Astyanax mexicanus: one gene and its partners. The protein of the gene in region 1 interacts with the protein of each later gene in a pairwise test. Links are inferred from orthologs where the notes say so. Each region holds a gene or a part of one and is shown in the gene's direction. Other genes may lie near its edges. The genes, in order: snrpa, rbm42, leng8 and trir.

Evidence for each region.
Region 2: the proteins of snrpa (region 1) and rbm42 interact in a two-hybrid assay, tested with the Homo sapiens proteins (2 studies listed by BioGRID and IntAct). The link is inferred for Astyanax mexicanus from reciprocal best matches to the Homo sapiens genes SNRPA and RBM42.
Region 3: the proteins of snrpa (region 1) and leng8 interact in binary tests that used the Homo sapiens proteins (3 or more experiments, as listed by UniProt). The two-hybrid records come from large-scale screens. The link is inferred for Astyanax mexicanus from reciprocal best matches to the Homo sapiens genes SNRPA and LENG8.
Region 4: the proteins of snrpa (region 1) and trir interact in binary tests that used the Homo sapiens proteins (3 or more experiments, as listed by UniProt). The link is inferred for Astyanax mexicanus from reciprocal best matches to the Homo sapiens genes SNRPA and TRIR.

The regions. Positions count from the first base shown.
Region 1 is NC_064416.1:32,625,489-32,633,382, reverse strand, and holds the start of snrpa (U1 small nuclear ribonucleoprotein A), read left to right. Parts: upstream 1-4,886; 5' UTR 4,887-5,002; intron 5,003-5,909; 5' UTR 5,910-5,913; coding exon 5,914-5,986; intron 5,987-7,091; coding exon 7,092-7,264; intron 7,265-7,359; coding exon 7,360-7,533; intron 7,534-7,653; coding exon 7,654-7,830; intron 7,831-7,894. Other genes in the region: c9h19orf54 (UPF0692 protein C19orf54 homolog), read right to left, coding at 390-514, 744-812, 1,531-1,697. UniProt on the Homo sapiens protein: Component of the spliceosomal U1 snRNP, which is essential for recognition of the pre-mRNA 5' splice-site and the subsequent assembly of the spliceosome. U1 snRNP is the first snRNP to interact with pre-mRNA.
Region 2 is NC_064408.1:113,944,198-113,951,612, reverse strand, and holds the start of rbm42 (RNA-binding protein 42), read left to right. Parts: upstream 1-4,402; 5' UTR 4,403-4,557; intron 4,558-7,415. UniProt on the Homo sapiens protein: Binds (via the RRM domain) to the 3'-untranslated region (UTR) of CDKN1A mRNA.
Region 3 is NC_064413.1:6,576,861-6,583,837, reverse strand, and holds the start of leng8 (leukocyte receptor cluster member 8 homolog), read left to right. Parts: upstream 1-3,965; 5' UTR 3,966-4,248; coding exon 4,249-4,289; intron 4,290-5,868; coding exon 5,869-6,007; intron 6,008-6,872; coding exon 6,873-6,977.
Region 4 is NC_064410.1:18,318,810-18,325,693, reverse strand, and holds trir (telomerase RNA component interacting RNase), read left to right. Parts: upstream 1-3,865; 5' UTR 3,866-4,790; coding exon 4,791-5,078; intron 5,079-5,556; coding exon 5,557-5,634; intron 5,635-6,071; coding exon 6,072-6,179; 3' UTR 6,180-6,553; downstream 6,554-6,884. Other genes in the region: mcoln1b (mucolipin-1b), read right to left, coding at 1,648-1,684. UniProt on the Homo sapiens protein: Exoribonuclease that is part of the telomerase RNA 3' end processing complex and which has the ability to cleave all four unpaired RNA nucleotides from the 5' end or 3' end with higher efficiency for purine bases.

The DNA.
Region 1 (7,894 bases):
GGTTAGCTGTCATTTAGAGCTATGGGTTCATTACCTGGGTTTGACAAGCTGACACTCAAGAGTTGTGGGTTTAATATCTGGGTTCAAGGGTAATATCAAGAGTTTAACCAATCAATGACAGTCACATGTGTTTATAATGCATGACATCACAAAGCATCATGTTTAAGTTAAGTTATTAATGTGAGCCCTGCATTAGCAGCGTTAGCTGCTTTAGAACATGGAAAATCAGCCAAACACACAACATTAGCGAATGAAAATATGGCTGACTGCAGAACAGCCTGACCGCACATAAAAAGAATCTCACACCTGTCAATGACCTATACCTGAATGTTGCCAGTGTGTGTGTTCACCGCATGCATGGGTTAAAGGCAGAGGTCAGATCACCATACCTGAGAACATCTCCCCCTGGGCAGTGTAGCCTTTCTCCAGTGCTGTTTGAATGACTTTCTCCACAGATATTGCATCTGTAGGCCTTAGCAGATGGGTTGCCATCCATAACGCCACTAAACCACATCTAAAAAAAATCACAAATATGGTTGTCATTTAACTTACAAGCATAAAAATTACCACTACTGTAATGAATTCTGTCTCTCTTGATTCTCCATAACAGAGCACTTTAATACATCACTTTAAACCAGAAGTAATTGGTCAATGAAAGAAAACTGCTTGTTTTATATATTCATTCTATATGTGACTGTAATTACATATATCAGATTTACAAAAGAATACTATTTTTTACTCACTTAGGGCCATCCTGAATCAATGACGGCACATATTTGTTGCACAGCACCCAGTCAAGATCCTTTCTGAAACTTCAGGAAGAAAATATAGTATGACTTATCACAACCATATGTATATTTATGCCAATAAATATACCATTTAACAGTAAAATATAGATAGAGTCTACCCCAGTAATGCACAAAAAACATGATTTTATCACATATTATCACAAACCATCCAAACCATCACTGATTGTGGAAACTTCACACTAGACCTCAAGCAGCTTGGACCCTTAAATTCCAAATCAAATGCAAAATTTACTGATAGTCAGGGATGGTTTGGAGAGTCATGTCATCTGCTGGTGTTATATCATATATGTGATCCACTGTGTTATATCAACTCAAAAGTCAGTGCAGTGTTTCTAGAAAATCTTACAGCACTTTATGTTTCTCTCTGCTGACAATTTTAATGAAGATGCAGATTTCATTTTCCAGCAGGACTTGGCACACCTCCCACACTGCCAAAAGTACCAATCGATCTTATATAATATTCTAATTTTCGGAAACAATAAATTTTGGGTTTTATTGGCTGTAAGCCATAATTATCAACAATAAAATAAATAAACACTTAAAATAGATCACTCAGTGTGTTATACATCTATATAATATATGAGTTTCACATTTTGAAATGAATTACTGAAATAAAGTAACTTTTCAATTACATTTTTTGAGATGCACTAGTACACTTTTTCTACACTTCTTCGTAATTTAGTCTTATGTACGGAACTGTTCTGGGTTTTGGGTCTTATACCTGCCCTCTCTCTGGGCGAGCAGTAACCGGGCCTCCTCAAAGTCTCCCTCCACAGGGGCCTTCCTCTCAGCTATAGCCTGGTACAGCTTCTTCTTACTGGACACAGGGGGAGCCAGAACAGAGGCTGGTGGAGGTGGAAGAGGTGGAGGTGGAAGATCCCCTGACATGGCCTCTTACCGGCTGAACTAATAAGTGAGAAAAGAAAAGATCTTTCACAGACACAAGTCACAATATATACTCATTAAAAAAAATAAACACCCTTGATTGCACCCTGGAAAACTCAGCATACAGTTCTGTCTCAGGCAGTAGAGGGTGTAAAAGTGCTTCTCCTGCTTCTCTATAAAAACCCAGAGTATCTTTTCAAGGAAGTCATTTGTGGATTTTATAATTAATAAATTAGTTTTCAATAATTTTTTTTTTATTGAGTTTGAACATTCACAATTAACACACGCTTAAAAGAAGAGCCATATCTGTGCTGACTGCCATATCTGAGCAGCTGTGATTGGCTGGCCGGTATTAGAGGTGAGCCGAAAGTGTGAAAAGCGTGTTTTGATTGGCTCAGTTCATCAAGAGTCAACAGTAGAGGAGTAGAGAAGGAGTAGCAAAAGTTTCTGGACTTTTGAAAAGTGTATCTCATGGTAAGAGACTGCTAGATGTGCCTCTGTGACGCACTTTATTGTAAGCCTGTTGGGAGTATCGACTAAAATCCATGTATTTGGGAATGCTGGGGGAGAATGGAGGTGAGCTATTCTACAAAAGCTTGTTCTTGTAAAACATGTTTGTACGAAGCCCCTAAGGTGACACAATGTTAAAAAAAAAATGCATGGCCACGACTTATAAGGCGTGGGAACGAGATAATAAAGTCATAGCCAAACAATAATAAAGCTTGCTTTTCTGTAAATTAATGCCCATGAAGAAACTGATATGTATAATATAATATTACATCAAAGCTCCAATCCAAGAATAATCTGTTGTAAGAAAATAGAGAATTAACTGTTTTTTTTTTCATCTTGGAATGAAGTATGGTGATATTTTGGAGTCTCTTGCAGTGAGACATGAAATAATTCTAATAAAAGCAACTTAATTTCCATACTAAAAGTTCACAGGCTCAGATGGAGACAGTCATATTGCGAACAGCCCCTAAGAGCTGCTTGCTTTGTTAGGTGTAAAAAAAAGAACTTTTGGCCACGCTTAATGGCGAATTAAAAAACTCGTTCCAATGCCTTCCGACTTTTGGCCAAGCATTATTAACCTTGAATAAGTCGTGGCCACGCATTAATAGTTTTTTAACATGTCACCATAGGCTCTCTGTATGTTTTACCACAACCCAATTAAATTTAACACCGGATTTCTCCTCTAATACAGAATGTCACTGTTTTTTTCAACACCACAATTACTGCAGCTTAAATCTAACACTCACTACTGTACAGACCTGATTCAGAACTCAGCCTGCAGTCTGAACACACACACACCTCTTCCTAATAAGGATATATGTCCAAGTACTCGCAGCCTGCGGACACATTTACAGCTAAACCCGATCTAACTGCTTTAAACTACAGGTCTGTTTCGCGTTACTTGAGTATACTGTAAATTAAAGCCTCAATTATCCTAAAATCGAGTCAAAATGAACCAAATTCAACTACTTACAGTACAAACACAGACCGGTGCTACATTCCAGCGACACACAGCCTAGTCCCACCAATCAGATCACAGAACCTGAAAAAGCGGCCTTCATTAGCCAATCAGAATCAAAGTCGGCAGTGAGATTAACGTCCAATCGCAGAGCTAGATGTTAGAGAGGCGGGGCTTCTTGAGAATCTGACAGAGCAAGTTTATGGAGAGACTGCGCACTTAAAAAAAAAATTACACTCAGTCGCTAGAGGGAGCCCGCAAGGGAGTCCCTGAATTAATGTGGGTGAATGGAGCTAAACGGCAAAATGTCAACTAAAGTAAAGTTAAAAAAAATCTGTCGAAGAGATTTCTTAAAAAAAGCAAACAAGTTTTAACTATGTTTTTCAGGTTTTTCTACAGTAAACGGGGTTAAGGCAAGAAAAGGCGCGAGCATTTCTGCTACTGAAAGATGTCTGGTTGATGCTAAAATTGACCAAAAGATTTATAACTGGAGTTTTAAAAGCTTTAATAGTTATGGCTGTGGTGCTGAAACATTGTTGTTAGCTAATATTGTTCTGTGTTGAAAAAAATACGTTCATTTTTTAAACATGAAAATTATTAAACATTTATAAACTCTGATTCTGCTCAGTTGTTCCATTATAAACCCCTTTATTTTCGACTCAGTCAGGAGCACCCTCTCTATTATCTGATTAACCCAGAATTAGTTTAAAAGCTTTATAATTATAGTTTGAAAGTTTTAATAGGTATGGCTGTGTTGCTGAAACATCTCCCTAATGTTGTTCTGTGTTGAAAAAATAAGCAACATTTCTTTTAATATAAAATGATTAAGCATTTATAAACTCTTCATAAACTCTGATTTTGCTCCGTTGCTCCATATAAATCTATTAATTTTGGACTCTCTCTTTCTAGTGTCTGATGAACCCAGATGAGATTCGTTAGAGGGTATTCTCCTCTCTAAAGAGTATCTGCTGGGCACACCAATCAGATCACAGAACTTGTAACAGTAGTCTTCAATAGCCAATGAGAATAAAAGTTGGCATTACAACCTGGAGATTAATGTCCAATCGCAGAGCTAGATGCATGAAAGGCGGGACTTCTTGAGAGGCGCGAGTAATCACCACAGCAAGTTTATAAAAAGACTGCCCATTTACTTTCAACTTCCCCCGTTATATTAGAAAATTACACTCAACCGCTAGAAGAGGGAGCCCGCGAATGAATCTTCAAAGAATAGAGGTATATGGAGATAACCGGCTTAAAACTCAAATAAAACATAGTTAGAAAAACAACCTGTCCAGGATATTTCTTTAATTTGGTAGTAAAATAAACTAATTTACTAAAAGAGCAAAGAAAACTTACCTGCTTTATAGGTTCAAGGCGCTAGCGTTACAGCTACTGAGAGCTGACTGGGTGGTGAGCTAATGCTGGAGACAGAACATGTTTAAAATGTTTATAACTGGAGTTTAAAAGCTTTAATAATTATGCGTGTGATGCTGAAACATGTAGTACATTTTGGACCCGCTTGGGAGCACCCTCTCTACTGTCAGATGATCCCAGGTGAGATTTATAAGTGAGTATTCTCCTTTCTAAAGCTTCTCTGCTGGGCACACCAATCAGATCAAAGAACTTGTAAAAGTAGTCTTCAATAGCCAATGAGAATCAAAGTCAGCGGTACTACCTAACCAATCGAAGACTTTATCTGAAGATAAACGTCCAATCGCAGAGCTTGATGTTTAGAGAGGCGGGACTTCCTGAGAGGGTTACGTTCTGTTCCCGTGCGGCGTGTTGGTGGTTGGCTAACAGCCTTGTTACTATAAGCCTTATTTGTTGGTTTCTGACCGCTGTGAGTATACTTTTATCATTATTTTATTTATCTGTATGTGGAGTAATATATGGTCGTTTTTTCTGTAGGCAAAGTTTTATGAAATTAATTAATAGAGCTTTAAACACAGGCAGCTTGGTTAGGCTTAGTGGTTTTCTTTATTTCGCTTCAAGTTGCCCGGTTAGGTTGGGCCTTGTCCTAAATTGCCTCCTACGAGTGGTCTAGTGCACTAGTTGGGGTACATTGGGGACGATATAGTATAGCACATTGTGTACTAACGCATTTGTACTGGAGGGCGTTTGTGGTTATTTGGGATTGAGCCTCAGCTGGTTTGAACAAGCGCCGCTATTAGCTTGTTAGCGTCTCGACTAGCTAGCCGACGTTAGATAGAAAGGATAGCGAACCTATAGTGCACCCGTTTTCATTGTTTTGTCATGTTTTACAGGTTTAATTGAAGAAGCTGTCATTTTAATATATTTTATGTATATTTTAATTGAAGAACTTGCTTATTTCTCTAGCTAGTTTGTCATATTGCTCCACAGTTAGCCTCGTAGCTAGATAATAGTTATCTAGCTACGAGTTAGCCTCGTAGCTAAGCTATCCATACCCTCCATACACATGTTCGATTCTGGTTCATCCTGTTTACATTTTTGTACAGCTTAGTTGTAGTTAGAGAACAGTAAACATATATGTTTAAATATGGTAGGCTAATAGCTCTGGGTTATTTATCCACTTAGCTAGGTTAACTAACTTACACTTAGCTAGCTAGTCCGCTAATCACATTGCTCCACAGTGGAGCATAGCTAGTTAGTTAATCTAGCCTTCTGCGAAACTTAGTAACTTATGTGTTCTCTTTGAATTAGTTATTTGGTAGTATTTAAGTGGTTTAACATATTATTATTTAAAATATTTTTGTTTCATTCCTTAGAGAGATGGCTGGCCAGGAGCTCCGTCTGAATCACACCATTTACATCAACAACTTGAATGAGAAAATCAAGAAAGATGGTAGGTTTACCTGTGTGAAAGATACATTTGAATCTGCCCTTATCTTTAGCGTTGTTCTGCCGAAAGAAGTTAACTTAAGGCCGTTTTCACACCTGTAGTTGGTTTCTATGGTCCGGATCAGTTGATGAGTTTATTTGGGGCGTTTCTCCCTCTGTTTGGTTTGGTTTCACACAGGCACAAACTTACACACCAAAATGCACACCAATAAACAACACAAGCTCAGTACCTCCTCTGAATGGTCAGAGCTGTCTGGCATGGGAGCAAGAAAGTTAATATAGAGTGAAGATTCTGTGTTCCAGCATGTATATCTGTGCAGTGTGAAGCTGCTTTAACAACTAAGCTCTATCGCTGTGCTTTTTAACAGTGTTATTAATAGGATGTGCAGTGCAGCTGTAAGTAGTGAGTGCAGCACATACGAAACAGCGTGTAAACAGCATGAATCAGCAGAAACAGTGTTCATAGCTGTGGTAATTACTTTTATCTGGCTAGTATATCAGATTAAACTGCACCTTTTAAGTAGTTTAGGTCAAATAAAAGGAGTATATTCAATATCTGGGTCAGATCAAGACTGGATCATGTTCTTAACACAAGCAAACCGCTCCAGAGTTTAACCACCTCCTTTAGTAGAGTAATATCAGTCCGGTTGTTGTGATCTGCACCCGAGTACAATAACCGTTTTAACTGGACCAAAAAGTGCTGGTGTGAAAACGCCCTAAGTAAATTCAGGACCAGCTTTTGTTGGTAGGTTTCAAATGGCCAGTGTGAGTCAGTCTGGTGAACCAGCATGAATGAATAAATGAAGTTACACTTTTAGTGCGTTTCTATACACCAAGGATGCTTTACACAATTATTTACACTCAGCACAGTGTGTGGGGTTAGGCTGGTCTTTCTGTTCCGTAAGCATTTTGTTCTGGAAAATATGCTGATAATTATGCTTGGTCATTCTGGTTGACTAGTTTAGGATATATTTATAATATTTGTAGACCAGCTAAATTGATCAACCAGATTAACCGTATTGGGACAATTTAACTGGTTCCTTTGCAAGCTAGGTGGTTTTTGTTAATACTGTTAAGTCTATGAACTAACAATCTTTTTGTCTCCACAGAATTAAAGAAATCCCTTTATGCCATTTTCTCCCAGTTTGGGCAAATCCTGGACATCCTTGTGTCCCGCACTCTGAAGATGAGGGGTCAGGCTTTCGTCATTTTCAAAGAGGTCAACAGTGCCTCCAACGCTCTGAGATCTATGCAGGGTTTCCCATTTTATGATAAACCCATGGTATGTGTTGGCTAGTTTAATGGCATTGGCTACTGTTGTTTACGATTGTAAATAAATGTGTGAAACTTGATAAATATTCTGTTTTTCTTCTTTAGCGCATTCAGTATGCCAAGCAAGACTCTGACATTATCGCGAAGATGAAGGGAACGTATGTGGAGCGGGATCGTAAGAAGGAGAAGAGGAAGCCTAAAAGTACTGAAGCCGGTGCATCAAAGAAGGGTGTGCCAGCTGCTGCCCCTGGCATGGCTGGAGTTCCTGCTGCTATGCCGGTGAGTTTATAGTAATATCTGATATTTTTAGCAAGATGTTTAATTTGTAAAACATGAGTTGCAAGTATGGAGACTTTTGAATATTTCAATGGTAACTAAATGTATTGCTTTATTTTGCAGGGAATGCCTCCTATGAGTCAGGCTCCTCGTATGATGCCAATGCCAGGCCAGCCTCCTTACATGCCTCCTCCTGGTATGATGCCACCACCTGGTATGGGTCCTGGACAGATGCCCCCAGGTGCTATGCCTCCTGGTCAGATGATGCCAGGGCAAATGCCTGGCCAGATGCCTCAGCAGGTATGAAATAACACATCAGGGACTACATGCAGACTAGTTCAATGCATAGAAACTTAATTTACAC
Region 2 (7,415 bases), on another chromosome or scaffold:
TGAAACACATCAGTTTAGTTTTGTTTACTAATATTTTCTTTTAAGTTACTTTAAAACACCCTCTAAAATTTCTACTCTAAAATCTTTCTCTGCTCTACACATATTTAATTGCTTTCACATGATTCTACTCTTTGATAGGTAATGTACATATTAAAAGTATAATGTTAAATAGGTCTATTGCCATTATATTCACAAATGTAGTACTGTAATGTATATCCTATTTTTTGATCTGACCATATGAATCCAGCAATCACATAGACTTGGAACAAGTATGTGGAAATATAAACACCAGCAGACGTGGAGAGATTGTGCATAGAGTAAGAAAATAGTTGTAGCAATGTTAAAAAACTTTGTAATAAAAGTACATCTTTATGTAATAAAAAAGTCTGTCCAAAAACAATATCTTTTTATTTTTGTGCCATTTTAAAAAGTAGAAAAACAGTTTGTTGCTTTAAAATATCTATTATTTTCTAAATTCCTGAGCTGTAATGATACAGCAAAATGAAAAATGCAATTGCTGCCACGCTTACCTCTAACCGCGTGTTCCTTAAAAAAGGTTAATATTATGCGCGACGCTGTCATTTAACTGCGACTACACAAACTCCGCCCTCTCCGTCATATCTATGGCGACATAAAACAAAATTAAATCTATGGCGCCATCTACAGCTGCAGGTTACAACGGTGCTCTATGGCAGTGGTTCCCAACCTTTTTCTTCAGGGACCCATATTTTTACCATTGTAAGCTTTGGTGACCCAACATACCCCCCCCCCCCCCCCCCCCCCCCCCCAAAATGTAAAAGATGTAAGTATATAATTGGGTTGGGGTACAAAAGGAAAAATTGATACATAAAACATAAGGAATTTTTATCTTATGAAGAAAAAAATAATTAGATCAATAAAATAATACAACTATTTAAAATGAATAAAAAATAATTTATATAAAATAAAAACAAACAAACAAAAAAAAGAATAATATCAGTTTCAAATCAGTAAAACAGCTCACCAAAACCTCAACCTGTCCAAATATTGGACAATAATTGATTAACTTTACAGGCCCTCACTCATTTTCATTTATTTAACTAAATTGAGTTTTATATTCTTATATTATTATATTATTATATTCAGCCTCGCGCTGAATTCAGCTCCGCGCTGCCGGAGAGAGCGCCCGCGCGCGCGCCAGAGAGAGAGAGAGAGACAGAGAGAGCGCAGCGCAGCGCGGCGAATTTTGCTTACCCTAGACTATATATAGTATTAAAATTAAACCCCTTAAAATCAAGAGGGCTTCGCGACCCATCGTGGATTTTTGGCGACCCATAGGTTGGGTCGCGACCCATAGGTTGGGAACCACTGCTCTATGGTATTGACAGCTACCGTCCAGACAAAAGCAGGCATGGCAGTATTTACATTAAATTCCTATTATATTATGAATGAAATTTGTTAAGAAGAGCTAGCTGAAGCCACTGTGTTGCATCTGGTTAAAATGCTGGATATGATGTACTCCGAAAAAAGTATTTATTGGAGCAGATTAAGTATGTTATATACAGAATAGATGAATGCAATTCGATTGTGTGAGTGTGTGATTCTGAAACAACAGATATAAAAGTAATACTTACTACTTGAAACACATCACTGACTAAAATTTGCAACACTAACATCTGAACAAAGATACACACTTCTTTGAGGTATTATCTGGTAATAATAATAGGCAGATCAGAAACAGCTAGAAGCTATACAGAGCTATACAAAAAGCTAATCAGTTAACATAGCATGTATATTCTTAAAAGTACACCTTCAACTTGGAAAGTAATACTTACAATCTACACTTTATGAAATAAAACTTTGCTAAGCTGTCCACCGTCCACTATCTCCACTGTTCCTCAAAAGAAGTCGTCTCTACCCCGTTTTGTAAGCAAGCCCCCAACTGTGGCCCCTCAGTCTCAGCATCCCCAGACTCGCGCTCTGACTGGCTAAACAAGCGTTGCATGCATATATATATGGAGGAGCTGAAGATAGTCTTTGGGCCAACTCTTGGCTCTTTGTCACAGAAATTACTATTGTATTATAAATCAAAACGAACCCGTTGCATCTTTAATTAGGTGTATTCTAAAAAAATAAAATAAACAGCAATTATGTGCACCCAAAACAGAAAACAAAATAAAGTAATAAAATAGAAATAAATAAGTAAATTCTGAAATCTGAACATGCAATTGAATTAAGAACTGCAAACTATGGAAAACTGCAAATCATGCAAAATAAAAAGTAATCAAATTTAGTACTTAAAGAGCAATAGCATGTAAAATTAAGTAAAAGCAGCAGAAGCAGAAGTGTTTGGGCTGTGGGAGCAACCCAGAGTACCCGGAGGAAACCCACTCATGTACATGCAGACTCCACATAGAACGGCCAGTACACCACCATGCCGCCTCAGCAGCAAAATAAGCAAACAAATTTAAACACCATACAAATTAACCTGAACAGTTAACTTTCAATATGTTTAAACATATAAGTTCAACATTTATTAAATTACCTGAAAAAAAATCAAAAATCCTGTAAAATATATTTTAAATCGTCTTTAATTTTAAGATAAGCAATTTGTTTAGCAGAGAAAAAAATGCCATCTTACTTTGCACGTTACTAATATATCACACTTTCGGATGAATGGGTCATTGTTGAGCCATGTGTGTGCATTTTAAATAGTAATTAAAAAAATGTTGTTCCTCAAGTAATAATATATATATATTTTTAATAATGATCAGTGTTAGTAAGAAGCAACATATTTAAATGACACTTGGAATTTTCTATCATAAAATAAATTGGTTTAAAAAGAAACTCCATGAAATATTAAAAAAGCTGGGAAATATATGCAGGGGATTTTTGACCCATGTTGTGCCTTAGAGGGGGTGTGTATATGTTGCGCATTAAAGGGTTAAGTTGTCAATGCTTGGCTGAATTGAAAATAAATGTATTCCATAGTGAAAAAAAAAAAAAACTAAAAGAACACTTTAATATTTGTTGATATACCTTTTACACGTTGGTATGTTGTGATTTAATCATAAAAAATGAAGTGTATAGCTGCAGCCTCGGAGACTGCAGTTTTAGGACCGCAGTTCTAGGACCCTGTGTGTTCGCTAGACAGCCACCTAAAAAAATGGTCGTGGACAGGACACGATGGATTACAGTCGGAATGTGAATCAAGTTACCGCCTAAATTAAATGTATTAAAATATTCAGATGTTTTGAATTAGACATCAATGTAATCTACACAGATTGTGACTGTATACGTAACACTAGCCTAAAAAGCATTACAAGCAGCTAACATTACGTGTTAACTTCTAGCTTGCTTCAAAACATCTAATAGCCTGTTAGTTATATTTTTAGTTATATATAAAAGATGACAAAGAATGTCTGTATCATATGTTCACTACGTTTCAGTACATTAAATCAATGTAACGTTAGCCTACTGTATTGGGTGTTAAATACTTATTTATTAAATAATGTTGTACCATAAAGTTAAGTTAATAAGCTTGAACAATACGTGTTGTTATTTGTAATAGTAATTTTATGAAAAATTTCAATTTTACTGATTATCCTGTCTGCTGTTCAAGATGCATGTAACAATTAGGTTATGTTTGTACCATCTTCAATATAACAGCTGCATGTAAGTTTCACGGGGGCTGCTTACTATTCATAAAAAAACTGAAAATCTTGAACATAATTGAGAGTTGCTCATATATTTGAAGAATATTGAGGATTTTTTTTTAAATATTGCCCAGCTCTAATAGACACTAGAGTAGTTTGAAGTTCCAAAAATATATCTTTTGTAGTTTGAATCCATTTCAGATATCAAATACATATAGCCCCAATCTTCCTTGTGTCTCCGATATTTGTGGTTGGGAGTTCTAAGACAAAGTAATATAGATACATAGATAGATACTTCATTGATCCCGAAGGAAATTTAGTAAATTCCTAAAAATTCATTAGGGATAAATAAAGTCCCTAGCTATCATATATTTGGGTAAAATAAACATTAAAAAGTGTAATAAGCCTTTAAATATGTACGTAGCTAAAGGTGTGATATTATTTAAGGTGTAGTAAGTCGTTTATTTTGGTAAGTGGCATTGTCGCGAAAACATAGGGTCCTAGAACTGCGGTCCTGAAACTGCGGGGTCCTAAAACTGCAGTCTCTGGGGCTGCAGCTATATACTTTTGAGGGTTTATTGGCTGGTAAACTTTTTCATGCTTGGCTGCATTGAAAAATTATGATTACCCCGGAGTTAAAATACATTTGAATAGATAATTTTGAGTTTTTAGCCATTTAGCTCCATTCACCCCATTCATTTAGGACTCCTATGTAGGCTCCCTCTATCGCGTGTTTGGTGTATAATCCGGCTCCGGTCCAGTGAGAGGCAGCACTGCACCATATAACTACATTAACGGGTTTACTAACCGACCAAACACACAGAGAGGAAGAGGAGACTCAGTACCCAGCAGTTAGCCGGCCTAGCTAGCTTCAGCTGGGGGTTATTACCTGGATTATTTTACCCTGCGAGGAGTTTTAGAGGTAAAGAGTCCAGTTTTAACTGATTACAAGCTCTACAGATTTCCTTGCTGTGTTTCAGGCTTTCTAACGCTGTTAGTTACTTATTATCCCGAGATAACTGAGCTAACTGAGCTAATCTAGGCTAACTGAGCTGTGCTAACTCGTTAGCGCGGCTGCAGAGTAGCTACAGGGTCTGTAACCTACTGAACACAGAGAGAAGGTCTAAAACTCAGGATTAGACTCGGTAAATTTGCAGTAACAGACTCAGTCTGACAGAAAACGCATTTAATATTCCGTATAATCCACTCTGCGTTCATACGGGCTATTTATTTATTTAGCTAGTTAGCTAGCGTTAGCTAACTATTTAGCTAACTGACTAATTTAAGTTGTTGAAGCTAACAAACTTCTAAGTCTGTTTTTCATGATTAACGTTATTTGACCAAGTTAATTAAGTAACAGCCATTTCTCAGTCGTTCTGTAACGTTATTTCTTAAGATGACTTTAGTCCTGTGTCTTTAAACCTCATATAAACTGGTGTATATAACGTTACAGCTCTGGAAAAAAGTAAGAGACCACTTCAGTTTCTCTGATTTTGCTGTTTATAGGTATATTTTTGAGTCAAATGAACATTGTTGTTTTATTCTACGGACAACATTTCTCCCAAATTCCAAATAAAACTATTGTCATTTAGAGAATTTGTTTGCAGAAAATGGGAAATGGCTGAAATAACAACAACAACAACAACAACAAAAAAGATGCAGAGCTTTCAGATCGAAGTTCATATTCATACAATTTTAAGAGTTCAGAAATCAATATTTGAAAAAAAAATAAATCAATACAATATTACAATAAATCAAAAATACACTCACACTAATTTATATACTAAAAAGGGGTTGAGAACCCTGATCTAAAAGAACAACCTGTCACCTACAAACCAAGTTTAAAAGTGTGCTCACACCATATTGAAGGCACTAGATAAAGATATTGGGTAATGCTAGGGCAACCCTGGGTCTAAAGCCCATATGGATCACTACCAATCACTTTATTTCTTTGGTTTAAACTAAATTCATTTAAAGGCAGAGACAGCAAACTAATAAGAAAATGGAGGAAAAATGTGGTATCAGTCCTATATTATAAATAAAGGTTAGCAACTTCATCTTGTTTATGTAGCAGATAGCACCTAAAACCCATTCAGATGATGCATACAATTACTAATGAATGAATATACCACTGAAGTCGTGTCGTCATTTTGTAGTTGGCGCCATGTTGTTTATGCCCATATTTGGGTTTCCGGGTCTAAGCCGTCCAAGTAAACGGCGACTTTCAATGTGCTTTTCAAAAACTGGCCTCTGTCCCATTCTCTGGCAAATAAATATGTTCAGAACCCTGTACGTTTTATTCTGTGTACATTTATTTAGAAAAATGCTAACTGTAAGCTAATGCTTAACTGACGTCACAGCACAGCGGCTGGAAATGTCCCCGGACTGGATTCTGCATAACAGCGAACTCTGGTCAGATCAAGTTTTTGATTATTATGCTTCTTCACAGAGGATCATTAAAGCATTTAAACAGGTGAAAACTCTTTCAGTTATGTTAAGCAGTGTGATGTTGAGCAGTGTAGTCTGTGTTAAAGCTTTAAAAGGTAGATAATAAGAGAGAATGGTTCTCAGTCCAGCAACGCTTCCCCGAAGGCTTTAGTATTAAATTGCTGTCATTAGTTTATACTAATTACAACACCAGACCCAAATAAACAACTAACTAATCAACCAATCAACTAACTACCTGCCCTCACTGAGGCAACAACCAACCAGAAACACCAATTTATTTCACTGCATAATAAAGAAGGTAAATGTTAAAACGTGTTACAACTGGTTCTGGAGTATCACTGACCTGTTTTAGTGATTTTATGCTGTGATGCTCTCAGCTCTTCTCAGTAAGGGCAGTTAGTTCATTAGTTGGGCCAGCTGTGTGTAAAATGCTCCTAACTTACGGCCGGAGTTCTCTGGTGTTGCGCTGAAAACAGTCCCCTGCTAATCTCTGCAGCGGTGCTGGGAGGTCAGTTCACTCCACTGTAGCATTAGCTTAAAGTTAGCAATAAATGATCTCATAATTCAGAGGATCCAGAGAAGTTCAGGAGTAAAATATACACAGAATAAAACATACAGGGTTCTGAACAGATTTATTTACCACAGAATGTGACAGAGACGTGTTTTTGAAAAGCCCATAGGGAAAAAACGCTTAGACATGGAAGCCGTAGTGGTCTATGGTGAAGAACAGAACTCAGTCACACTATTTTAGGTCCCCTAGCCAGCCAGTAGGTGGCAGCACCACCAATAATGCACAACAGTTCTAGGACCCTATGTTTTCACTGCCACCTAGCGATAGGACCCTATGTTTTTACAACACTGCCACCTAGCAAAGTGGATGTGGACACGATGGATTACAGTCGGAAAGTGAGTTCGGAATATGAACCAAATTTTATAGCCTAAATTTAATGTATTAAAATATTCAGAAGTTTTGAATTAGACATCAATATAATCAACACAGCATGTGACTGTACACACAGCCTAAAACGCCCCTGGTTTTTGTGAGTGTGTGAATTTTAATAGTTGAATTTTGTTGGATTCTTTCAGAAACCTGTAGAGAACTCTTATGCACATTTTTACACATTTCCTTAACTATAATACTGAAATACAAGTAGGTTATGTTTGTACCATAAGTTGTGAGCTATTAAGAACATATCCCACCAACAACATAATTTTTAATTCTGATTTTTATTTCTATTATTATTATTTATTTTTATTTATTTTTATTATTTATTTTTATATTATATGTACATCAATATTGCTTTCTCTAGTTAGAAATTAGAGATTGTGATA
Region 3 (6,977 bases), on another chromosome or scaffold:
AGCTTGGTCATGTTGGTGAACCACTTTGGTGATGATCATGCTGGCTGAACAACTGATGTTTTTTTTTTTTTTACTATAGTACAGTATGTTTTAGGGTCAGTCTTCCAACATTAAAGTCATATTATTACCATCTTAAATTATAACGTAGCATCTCAGAATATTGATCTCAAAATAATGACTCGATATCTTAAAATAATGACTTAGCATCTTACAATAATGAGAAGGTATCTCAAAATAATGACTTAGTACATTAAAATATTGGCTCAGCATCTCACAATGATGGGATATGATCTCAAAATGGTTTATTAGTTTTATTTATTACTATAGTACAGTGTGTTAGGGCCATTGTTTCAGCCAATACATATAGTTATTATTTCAGATTTTGACTTAGTATCTCAAAATAATTACTTTGTATATGAAATAATTAGACAGTATCCCAAATAATGACTTACCATCTCAAATGTTGACTTAGTATACCAAAATAACGACTTAGCATTTTACAATAATGGCTTAGAACATCAAAATAATGACATGGAACATCAACATAATGACTTACTATCACATTATTTTGATATACTATCTTATAATAATGTGATATCCCAAAATAATGACTTAGCATCTCAAAATATTGACTTGGTATATTAAAATAATGACTTAGCATATCCAAATGATGGCATAGTATCTCAAAATAATGAGATAGCATCTCAAAATAATGCCTTAGCATCTTAAAATAATGACTTGGTATATCAAAATAATGACTCAGCATCTCGCAATGATGAGATTTTTCTCAGAATTGGTTATTAGGTGTACCTAGTATAGCTTAATATGTTTTAGGGTCATTGATCCTACGTTAAAATCATATTACTTAAAGAATAGTTGTAATATTTTGAGAAAATCAACTATCTAGCCTAAGTTAAATAATGTAAAGAGCTCCAGCAGCCTGTGTGTGTGTGTGTGACCCGCTATTTCGTAACGTGGTCAGATGAGCACCGCAAAATTTAGCCACAAGCAAAAACCCACAACAACAAATTCCAGAAAAATCTAACGAGTTAACAGGCTTCAGTACAGACTTTACCCATCTGTAAACTAACAGCTTTAGATAATATATAATATAAGTTAGATAATACTGATTCTCTGCAGCCCAGCTCAAACCCCAGCCCGTGCTGCAGGTCGATCAGCTGATCTAAAAAACAACAGCAAAAACCCAGCGTTACCTTTCCTTTACTCAGCGGAGCGGATTCAGAGATACCGGATCAGAACCCTGCGCTGGATCACAGCCTGCCCGCGGCGGTACCGATACTACCCGCTAAACAATCAGCCCGATCCCCGCAGATCTCGCTATAGATCCCTTTAGCTCTATTTTTAAAATGTCGCCTGCTCCACTTCTACCCAAACAATAATACACCACCCCACGCCCCGCCCTATTCGCAACGCTCAGACCAATCACAGTCCAGCGCTGCGTTTCTACCCAATCGGATACGGGCGGAGGCGGGGATTGGGTTTGTTTACAATGATTCGATTCGTCAGTCACGCTGTCGATCAGCTGTTGCTCGCTCTTATTGGACCAATGAGAAGAGGGGAGAATAGGGCCAGGATCCTGAGATACGTGCCTGACGTGTCTTTTTTGGGCAGGAATGCTGGAAGCCGTGCTGTTCCTTTCTGCAGGAACAGCTCAAAAGAACACCAGCACACAGCAGCACTTCCTTATAGAAGCACTTATCACACACTAATATATATTTTTATATTTATACTATGAAGGTGTTTTTGTTTCTGCCAAAAAATGTTATTTTTTTTCAGTGAAGCCTTTACATAGCTTCTGTAAAACCATTACCTCAAAATAACGACCTAATATCTAAAATAACGACTTAATATCTCAAAATAACGACTCACGATCTAAAAAAAAACGTAGCATCTTAAAATAACTAGGTAGAATTTTAAAATAACAACTTAGTATCTCAAAATAAGAACTTACTATGTCAGAATATTGACATAGCATCTCAGATTAAAGAGTGTGTATCTCAAAATGAGATAGCATCTCAAAGAACAATGTATTTCATTATAATGAGATATCTTAAAATAATGGGCTTCCATACTTCCTTATATTTATAATGGGGTGAAAAAGTATTTTCCCCCTACAGATTAGATGCCTTGGAGTTCTCCCATGGAGAACATTTTCGACCAGTCTTTTTTTACAATAGCCTTTACTGAGGCATGTGCGACTTGCAGTTCTTTAAATGTTGTTCTGGGTTTTTGGACCTCCTGGATGAGTTGTCCATGACCTTTTAGAATAGTTTTGGTCGGCCGGTCACTCCTGGGAAGGTTCACCAGTGTTCCATGTTTTCTCCATTTGTGAATATTAGCTCTCACATGCGGTTCGCTGGAGTCCGAAAGCCTTTGAAATGACTTTGTAACCTTTTCCAGACTGATAGATGATCAAAGACTTTTTGTTTTCTCATCTGTTTTTTAATTTCTTTAGATTGGGGTATAATGTGTTGCTTTTTAAGATCTTTTATCTGCTCTATGTTGTCAGACAAGTTCTATTTAAGGATTTCTTGATTACTTGATTGATTCAACTACAATCAGATTCACTCTTGATGGATCTTGATAAAGAGATTTACCTGAATAGGGTTTTTTAAAATGATGAAAACAAGCTGAAATGAAATAGGAGTAACAAGGCTATTTTTAGAGAGGCAGTTTTTTAGTAGAAAGCACAGAAGTAGAAGTAAGTAAAGTAGTCTGTTAAATAATTACTCTATTTAGTACAGATAACATTTCTACTGAAAGAATATGGAGGTATTTTGCCTTATAGTGTATTATGTTATTTTCAATTAAATTAATAATCAGTATATAATCTTAATCATTTTTATCAGAATCAATATATAATCTAGTATGACCATGATCTCTGTTTTATTTTCTTTGTGTGATTCATGTGCTGTGTATACTTTGGAAAATAGGCTTCAAAGCCTTTTTCAGGGAATCAGTATAGTTTTAACCTTAAAACAGGCTGATCTAAGGCTCTGACTCTGTGTGTTGAGGAATTTGACTGCCTGGTGGAAGAAGCTGTGTCAGAGGCTGGGATGCTCTGGTATCTTCTGCTCGTTTAGTCATTTGGACTGTGGTAAATTTGGTAGCGCGACTAAAGGAGTGGGTTCTATACAAATAGCCAATTTTAGACCTAACCTTAGTCTGTAACTTGTTAATGTGTGTTGGGAATGACAAGGTACTTTCTAACCAGATACCCAGGTACTTATATTCTGTGACCTGATTTATTTTATCACCTTCTACAGTAGTAATATCCTGGTAGGGCTGGGTACAAAACCCTTCTTGTAAAAACACAATACCTTTGTCTTAGCGGTGTTTATTTGAGGATTTAAAGTGAAAAAAGCTTGTTGAGGCCTAAGAAAATTATTTTAAAGTAAGTTAGATCTGTCTGCCTCTGGAGACGGACCAGTTGCATAAAGGACTGTGTTATCAGCATAAAAATAAATAAATTAATCTTAAACACAGAGAGCAAGTTTATTTATGTATATGGAGAACAATGTGGGCCTAGGATTGAGCCCTGAGGGACACATTTTTTTAACTGAAAGTGTCTCTGAAACAAAGGCTATGTTCACACTGCAAGCTACATTGCTCAAAAAAGCTTTATAAAGGGAAATGGATGTGTTAGCAGCTCAGTTTTTACAGTTTTTGTGTGCATGTGAGACATTTCAAGAACAGATTGGTTCACATAACACACAGATACAGGTCAGTCATGAAAAAATCTGATTCACATACAACCTATCAAGAAAGAATAATAATAATAATAATAATAATAATAATAATAATAATAATAATAATAATAATAATAATAATAATAATAATAATAATAATAATAATATATACATCTAAATACATTTTTAGATTTAAATAACTAAAAATAAACATTTTCTCCACCAATTAGAGGAGAGGACGCGTTTACGTCACTGAAGTCTCAAGCCAGGAGCCATTTTGTGTTGGGTGTTGACGCGCTGGATGCGGTTAGTTTATGTTATGGTTTAAACCGTATTGTTTAGAGACAGCAGTGCTCTGGGCTACAGTGTATTGTTTTATTTAGCTACGTAATCGCCATATTCTCCTAGATTGGGCGCTTCTAGATTGTAGAGAGCGGAGGAGTTTCTGCGTTGGAGTGAAATCCAGTTTAGCTAGTGAGCTAATTAGCTTAGCTTAGCGTAGCTTAGCTGTGATAGCGGGCGCTGACGGCGCCTCAAAATGGCGACAAACGCGGCGAAGCAGGCCTCGACTCCCGGCTGGTAAGATACTAATATTCCATAATTTACCTCAATAAACCTCCACAGAATGAGATATAGATATTCAGAAACTGTATCTGAATTGGGAATTCGTAAGCTGTCTTATTTGTTATGATTTAAGGTAACTAGGTTAGCTATCCTACGTTAGTTACTGTAGTGAACAGTTCTTAGTGTTTATGTGTAATGTTAAATACATCCTAACCTACTAACTGGTAAGTTAACTGGTTAAGCTTGAACCTGAAGCTGTTAACCTAGCTAACCTATCTATAAAGTTAGTTATCAGAATAAGAGAGCTAGCGTTAGCTATAGATTAGTAACGTTAATCGTTGTATTTGTATCCTAACCTACCTAACCCTCATTTAGCTAAGCTAAAGCTAGCTATAATTTATTTAAACGCAAACTAGGGTGGGCGATATGGCTCTAAAGTAATATCACGATATTTCAGGGTACGTTTGCGATAGCGATATATTCTTGGTTATGTGACAAAACACTGAATTTTTAACAAACAACTCCAGAAACACAGTAACTTACTGCAACAAAATGAACATTACATTCTATTTAGTGCAATTAACGTTACTGCATACTGTGTGATATGATGTGGCACACCCCTAATTGAGACTTTTAGCAGATTGTAACAAATAAGACGTCATGTCATGATATTAATGGACTAAATACATATTTATGAAGTAAAATCAATGATGCTGGACAGATATAATCTAATAGTAAAGGTTTCATTGGAAATGAGAGCAGTGTGATTTTTTTCTTTTTGCTACAAACAGCAAAAAGTTGTACCCTCATGTCCATTAAATATAATTATAATTAATTTGTGATGATGAAGATATTCACAGATGACAAAAAACATGATATGGCACAGGCCTAGAACAAAAAAAAAATTGGGCTTTATTTCTGATAGGGGAAAAATTGGCTGATTATTTGAGGAAGACAAAATGGTAATATAAGTTACTATTTGTCATTTAAAAATGCTTTGAATCTAAAACAATACCACTAATAATACAGTGACCGCTGACTTCAAATTTACATAAAATGTGAGGATTACAATATTTTGAAATTTTTTCTCTTCAGGAAAACTTTTGATTGTTTGATATTGGGGTGTGCCATATCATATCGTGCACAATAATATTGCCAAAATTTTTAATATTGTGCACAATTTACTCTGAAATATCGCACCGTATCAATTGCAGTTTGTTGCAGTAGTGTATTCTTGATTTTATTTATTTATTTATTTTTTAGTTCTGTGTTTTGTCATATCGGCAAGAGTATCATTATCACGAAAATACCATGAAATATTATAATATTATTTTAAAGACATGTCGCCCACCTTTAGTTTGATGTTATATTTGCTTTCAACAGTAACAGTTTGTATTGTATTCTAGCTAGCTAGCTACAGCAGTTAAGCTACACTGTTAAAATGTAGGTTTGTACATTTTGTTATTCCTAGTCTGTGTGAGCTGAAATGTTAAATATATAAAAGGCTTTTCATAGAAAAAACATACTTGCAACTTCTAAATTAAGGTTTCACTGTTCATAAACGTAACTACTGTGGTTTATCTCTGTTTTCCAGGTCATATGGAAACACTTCCGGCAGTGACGCTCCGGTACACGAAAACCCAGAGTGGGAGAAAGCCAGACAGGCTCTGGCCTCCATTAGCAAAAGCCAGAACTCTACCAAGACCTCACCAACCAACCGCACCACTGCACAGGTTAGAATAGTAGGGCTGCACAATATTTAATTCATAACTTCTCTGCAATACTTGCATGGCAGCGGTGAACCTATGATCACAAAGGTATTTAATGCAGGAAGAGACTCGGCCATTGCATGTTAAATACGCTGGTCATTGAGTAAATAAAATAAAATTTTTCTGTTGGTCAATTTAGATTTTAGTCTATTTTTTTTTCTGCAGTGTCCTTTATCTTTGCTTCATGTGTGTAGGTCTTCTGTTCCTAGCCTTTTCTATCTTTGCTTAAAAGCAATAGAAACAACTGAACATGGTAATTAAGGTCCCTTTAATGACCAGAATAAGTTTTAAATTTGAAAAGTTCAGATATTTAGGAAGTAATTATGTCATTTGTTGTCGTTGGGCACTTTTGGTGACCAAGCTCAGAGTAAACTCAATACCCTTTGTGTAGTTTGGTGCAGTTCCAAATGAATGATTAGTCGACATTGAAATTTGGTGTCAACATAATTTTAGAATCAGCATTGATTGTCGACTAATCGTTGCAGCCCTACTCTGAAATTTTTCTGCGGGAAGCCATGTCCCAGTGTTTAGAGAAGAGTGTGGCACAGTAAAGTTAATAACACTGGTGAGGTATCCTTGAGCCACAGTAGATCACATGTGCCTGAAATTTAAACTGTAAGAGACAACCAGCTTTTAGGTAAACAAACCAATGCCATGGGTAAGTTAGCTTAGCTAATATTAATGTCCTAGCCCTGTACAACATTTTTTTTAGGAAAATGTGGGAAACATGATGGAAATGGTTTCCTCTGTAAGTACATTGTTTTATGCTAAACCCAACTCTGTAATGTTTGTTTTTGCTGTACGAATGATGTTTTAATTCTATGTTTAGGCTGGACAGTACCAGACTTCAGTGACTGACTCTTCTGCAATGCAACAACAACAACAACAGCAGCAGCAGCAGCAACAACAGTACTATCAGTGGTATCAACAGAAC
Region 4 (6,884 bases), on another chromosome or scaffold:
GAGGAACATAATGAGGAAATGGAAGACTACAGGTACAGTTCTAGCTAAAATCTCAGATAAGCAGAGGAGAAGGATTGTGAGAACAGTCATAGTCAACCCACAGAGCAGCTCCAAAGACCTACAACATCATCTTACTGCATGTGGAGACACTGTGCATCGTTCAGCTATTAAGTGCACTTTACACAAGGAGAGGCTGTATGGGAGAGAAATGTAGAAGAAGCCTTTTCTGTGCACACGCCACAAACAGAGTTGCTTGAGGTATGCTAAAGCACATTTGGACAAGCCAGCATCTTTTTGGAATAAGGTGTTGTGGACTGATGAAACTAAAATTAAGTTATTTGGAGGACGGAATGCATGATGGAAAAAGAACACAGCATTCCAACACAAAAACACTTTCTACCCACAGTAAAATTTGGTGGTGGTTTCATCATGCTGTGTAGCTGTGTGGTTAGTGCAGGTATTGGGAATCTTGTTAAAGTTGAGGGTCTCATGGATTCCAGTCAATATCAGCAGATTCTTGAGAACAAAAAATACCTTTAACCAAAAGCCAGGCTCTCATTCGAAGCTATAGGACGTGTTTAGACTCTAAACACTTCCTATAGCTTCGAATGAGAGCCTGGCTTTTGCAGAAATAACAGCCTCTAAACTTTAGAGGCTGGTATTTCTGCAAAAGGAGGATCTACTAAATATTGGTGTAATTTTTATTTTGCGATGCTCACATTTATGCACCTGCCTGATTTTGTTTGAAGAATTATTGCACACTTTCTGTAAATCCTATAAACTTCATTTCACTTTTCAAAGATTTTTTAAAGAGTAAACACTGTTACTGCAGAAAAGGTGGGTCAAACAGGCGTTCTGTCCAGTTATGCTACCCATCAGTATGAACTTCTTACCAGGCACTGCACATGTGCTGACCCACAGTTTTAATGAGTGAACTATGTGCTGATAGTTCTGATCTTCGCACGTACATTTAACAATCTTAACTCACTTCCAAAACTGAAAATGGCAATTAATAATGATAATAAAAAATGAAAAATAGTAAACCAGCAAAAATACAAAAATACTTTCTAATAAGCTCTCTTTTTCTAGCTTTACCCTGACAAAGTTATTTACACTAATATACCAAACCTCTTAACTGGACTTCTGCAGGGATCATGTTCTAATATGGTGCTTTTTTGTATTTCTACCCATAAATATGACGCTATACGAGTAGCTCAGTCAGAACTCTGGCTGGACGAGGAGGAGGATAATTAATAATAGTACAATTATTTTAAAATGCATCTATAAAAGAGGCATTTGCTGTCAGGCAAACATTGCTGACATAACATGAAGACCCTATTATTTATTAACAACTATGAAGCTTAATTAAAGTGTATTATGTGTTTTAAAGTGTGCTAATGTGTATTCATGAGTATTTAAGTGTATGAACGTGTATTAAACTTACAGGTGGGTAACCCAGGTCCAGAGAGTAAAAATCCATCCCAGGGTTTTGTACCAACTGCCTGGGCAGCTTTGCTCTAGCTGAGATATGCACAGAGCCGCCCTGACAATTAGTACAAAACCCTGGGATGGACTTGTACTTTCTGGACCTGGGTTCCTCACCTCTAAAGCTGCAGAAGGTGATGTTTAGTGAGGAGGTGGTCAGACCTGTGTCCTGTGCTCCGGCTCTGGGGGAGTTCTCCATGCTGCAGTGAGGAGGAGCTGAATCAGTGAGTACACGGGGACAGCAGTGTGTGATACAGATGATACAGGAGATTCAGGAGGTGAGCGGATCCCGGGCTGGGGAAAACCTGCAGCTTCTCTCTCATAATAACCCGCAGATCACAACAGCCCAGCGCAGTAAACACAGCCAGCTTCCGGGCGGGTCACGTGACTGGTTTATAGCGAGCCTGCCCGCTCTCCGCGCTGCATCAGTAACTTGTTGCCGCCGCTAGAGGGAGCCCGCGAGGGAGTCTTCAATGAACACAAACATATATTAATGTATGAAAATAAAATTTTAAAGCTCCAGGTTGTATATACAATTTCCCAGATATAATGTGTTTAATATGCGCTCATTTTTCTGTCTAGTACCCTGTTGGAGCCTCTAGTCTGGATACAAGAGGAGTATGAGATGGTTGGGCATAGAGGTGTACAGGTTGTGTATGGTATCCTGCAGCACATTTACACACAGATGTTGCAGTTGGGCCTGTAGATCCTGCTGAAGCTGCGTCCAGCAGCTCCCATAAATGCTGGATTGGTGATACAGTGGTATGAAAAGGTTTGGGCACACCTGATAATTTTCATGATTTTTCTTCATAAATCATATATTTGGGCACCCTTGTCATTTCATTGATTTGAATACATTTTATGCACTGAAACTGTGTTGATCTCCAACATCAGAATTGATTTATTAGGAGGAGATACGTTCTGTCATTACTTTTCCACCGCGCTCCGCAAAACCAGCAAGCTGATTGGCGGTTTCTCCTGAGAGAAAAATTATTTGGGCCTTTCATTTGGCGCCCCCTGTAGTGCAGCGCCCCTATGCGCATTGGCTGCATAACCCCTTTTAAGTTGTATGTCTGGCTGCATTTTGGCTCCAGTGGAAACAATAAATGGTAACAGAGTGACCAAAAAGACACAAACCATATATAAATACTGTAAGTAAATCCTACACATGACTGTTTCATAGGCAGTTGTACTAATCCCTTAGCTCTGTACTGTATTAAAAAAAATGTTCTGTCTCTGTTAATTACAAGAGATTTAGGAGAAAAAACACAAAGCATAGACTTAATATGACTGGTTTTGGTTTGCACTTATTGTTTGCACTATATAAGATCTAGAAAAGTTTTATTTTTATTTTTTTATTCTTATTCTTATTTTTATTTCTTATAAAATCAATGTGTGAGAGAAACCAGTCTGTTAAGTTTGCATTATATGATTTTGTCAAATAAAACTCTAGTTTTCAAGCCATTTTTCATTTTTGAAAATCTCGTCTCGTTCTTGTGAACCCAGTATCGTGTCTCGTCTCGTGATATTAGTGTCTCGTCACACCCCTATTAAATAATATTTTATATTATATAATAAATATAATTAATCTGTTATTTTGCAGAGTAAACACTTGTGGGGAGAAAAATTGCTCATTTTCTGAAAATTTTATTTAATTACCAGCATACTGAACTGTGATAATTTTAAAGGCATTTCTAAAAGCTGATATTCACATTTAACCAGAAAATCAAGGCCTTTAACCCTTTCAAATATTTTATTAGGTATAAGATACCAAAAGAGTTGTAGGTTATTTAACGTATACAATCTCTCAACCATTTAACCCTGAATATCCATCCCAACAACACATTAGAAATATACAGCTTATATATATATATAATTATATATATATAAAATACATTTATAATGAATCTTGTTTCTCCAAGAAAGTTAAATATAATGGAGTTAGCTAATGTAATCAGAGAGACATAAACAGGAAGTGACGCAGATAAACAAACACGTTTAAGTGTGTATTCTCCTCTATAAAGACTCTCTGGCCGCGTCACCCTCCTATCTCCCGTTATAACCGCCAGAGGGAGCCCTCGAGTGAGTCGGCTAAATATAAATATAAAAATATATATATATATTTTTTATTATTATTTTTTTTTATTTTAATCTATCAATTAACTACATCCGGCTACAATCCGTATGTCGTATCTTAACTACTAACAACGAACCTAACTCACTCATACAGAGTTACATACTGATATTACCATGTTGCCATGGTAACGCGGTTGTCACCAGTACAGGCAGTTGTTTTTATAATTTATGATTATAGATATGAACGGCCTTAACTGCATGATTTATTGGGTAACATACCAGTGTACTGTAATATTGGTAATATTTCATTAGCGTTATTATTTAATATGTACATATTGTGTTGTTAAAAGTAACGTTATTTCAACACCCTGTGGAGAAAGCCATTGTTTTTACCGAGCTCCGAACAGGCAGTAATATATAATGGTTTTCATTGGTTTAGTTAACGTTACTGTTTACACCCGCTGCTCAGGAGTAATGAGTTATAACACTTAAAGACGTTATAACTAGCCTACGTTGCCTAATCCGCCCCCAGTTCTGAAGTTACAACCACGGGTTATAAAAGGGTTATAAGTGAAGTTTAAACGTTTTAAATAATATAACGTTTTATATATATGCTAAAATATGCTGTTCTGTGACGAGGAAAGTATGACTTTTTCAGTATGAAAATGATTTTATAATGAGTTTATAAAGTCTGAATTTACGCTCCATATGAACCCGTTAACTTTTGGTATCACTCAGCAGCGCCCCCTGGTGACGGTCAGGACTAAGGTGTAGTTGTAGTAGCGCTCCGTCAGGCCCGCAGGGGGCAGCACTCATATCAGCAGCAGCTGCGCCGCATTCCGCCTTTGTTCCTTCTGATGCAGAAGAAAGTGTAGAAAGTAAAGATGGCGGCGGAACGGGAGCGGAGTGTTTTCGGGGGATTTTGATAGAAACTGCGGCGTTTCAGGAGCTTTAACAGCCCGAGCAGGCCAAGCCGCGGGGTTAGGTAGCGGAGGGAAGGCCCGCAGGGTGATTGCGGTGCGGGTTTAATCCGGTTCATATCTTTAAACCCGGAATAAACACTACTCCCCCCTCCAGCGCTGCAGCGGGGCCTGCTCCCTCTCCCCGCCGCGCGGAGCTTTGGGCGGATCCGGGCTGATAAAGCGGCCCCCGGGCTGAAGCCTCTCCGGCTGCGGGTCACAGAAAGACTCGGTTCTTAAAGAATCAAATCCTAGAAACCTCCGCTCAACATGGAGGCCAAGCGGAGCCGCGCCAAGACCCAGCCGCCCAGCAGCGGCAGCAGCGACTCCAGTGGCGGGCCCGCGTCCCCCGCCAGTCCCGCAGCGCCTCCCGCCGCTGCCGGTAACGCGTTTGCCAACGACGGGAGCTTCATGGAGCTGTTCAAGAAGAAGATGGAAGAGGAGGAGAGGAGGAAGAGGGAGCTGCAGGAGGAGGAGGAGAGCAAGAGCGAGCAGATCAGTGCGGTCGCGGGACAGTCCTCTCTCAGCAAGAAGACGCTAAACCCGGCGGCCAGCTTTGTAAGGGGTTTAGCAGTTGCTCTAGCCGGTTAAAGACGGCCGCGCTAAATTAACCCTAGCTAAACACTGTACACTAATACTGTACATTACTGCATACTGAAACATTGCTGTCTTAAAAACACGAGAAACGAGCTTTATACATCTAAAATGTGCAGAACAGTAGAAACAGCAGCCACACACAGCTCTTTACTTCACCCAGTGCTCAGTGTGTGGGAATGGGCTTGTTATATGAGTCCAGCCCATCGTGATGGTTGAAGGTGACCATTGGGGGTTTGTCTCTGTTGATATGCTATTGGAGATGTATCTAGTTGTTAGTGTATTAGCAGGGCGGTTATGGTGGTGCTGTTTGTTTGTTGGGTGGTCTCATGTCTCGCTGTTGGGACGGGTGAAGCATACTGTAGATGCTGTCCTAAGTGAATGGCAGGCCTCCCCCCAAAAACGGCCCCTATAACGGTTTCAGTCTTCTCCCCTAACCCAGGTGGGCAAGCGGAGAGGCGGCGCCAAGTTGGCCCTCAAGACTGGCATGGTCGCCAAGAAGCAGAAACTGGATTCGGAGGTGGGTCAGATTTTCACTCACTTCCTTTTCATGCCATATTTGTGTCAGTTTAGAACTGTGAGATGATGCTTCCCCAAAAGGAATGCTGAGCAGCATAATCAGCAGGGACATTGCCAAACGGTGGTGGGATTGGAGGATAATCTCTGACCTGTCCAGTCCCTTTGGCACTGTCTAGAAAAGATACCGTCTTGGAGGGCTTTAGTCCATCATAGTGAGTAGAAAAGTGGATTCTTATAGGATTACCCCTATATCTTTGCCCCCCCTTAGATGGCGAAACTGTATTCTCTACTCCAGCTCTGGTTCAGTATGGTATACCAGTTCTGTCTGATGGGAGCTGGAGTAGAGCATTAGAGTGGGCATGACTTCCCTTCCTTATGTAGTAATGACTGATGTGTTCTTCATTAGTAGTGAAGTTCCTTTGCGTGTTTGGTTTACAGGCTGAGGCGGGTAAAGGAGACGCCTGGTCTAAGTACATGGCCGAAGTGAAAAAATACAAAGCTCACCAGTGTGGAGATGACGACAAAACCAGACCGCTGGTCAAATAGACTCAAAGGAGCAGCCGCCAGACCCTCTCTCTCTCCAGACTGCCAGGCCACCGAACACGCAGCCGATGAAAAGCCTCACTGCTTAATTTTTGTTTGGTTTAGTTTTATTTTTCTTCCCCTCGAACGTTTTGTTTATAGGTTCCTAATTTTAGTATGTATGCGGTCTGTGCCAGCTGCAGTGATGTATGGTGATTCAGATGCTTTTTAAAGGTGTCATTTGAGCCTTATTATGATAATTATTGTTATTATTACAGAACGTAAGAATATTTGTGGTGTTTGTTGTATTTGCACTGACATCACACCATGCTATTTTGTACCTCGGCTCCCCTTCCACTTTCCGTATCACCTGAATTAAAGGGTAAAATATCAAACCACTGCGGGCTGAATAGAGTGATTGTGCCATTATACCATTCATAGCACTTTAATCAATGCTTCAGTCACACACAATCTTGGGGAGAACTTTGTTTTAAGGTAAGCTCCTTTAGGCGTAAAATATGAAACCAGTGTAAAATTAAATATTTTTATATAAAATATATTCCCATTCACACAAAGACAAACACTTTCCTGAGCACCCTATCCTTGTGTTTGTAGTACATTATTAGAAGAGACACATAAACAAAAAAGTCACAATTCTCCTTAAGTAATGTACTGTTGTCCTGAAATGATGTCTTGAAAACCTGAAAGGTGCTTTATGTCCATCATGTG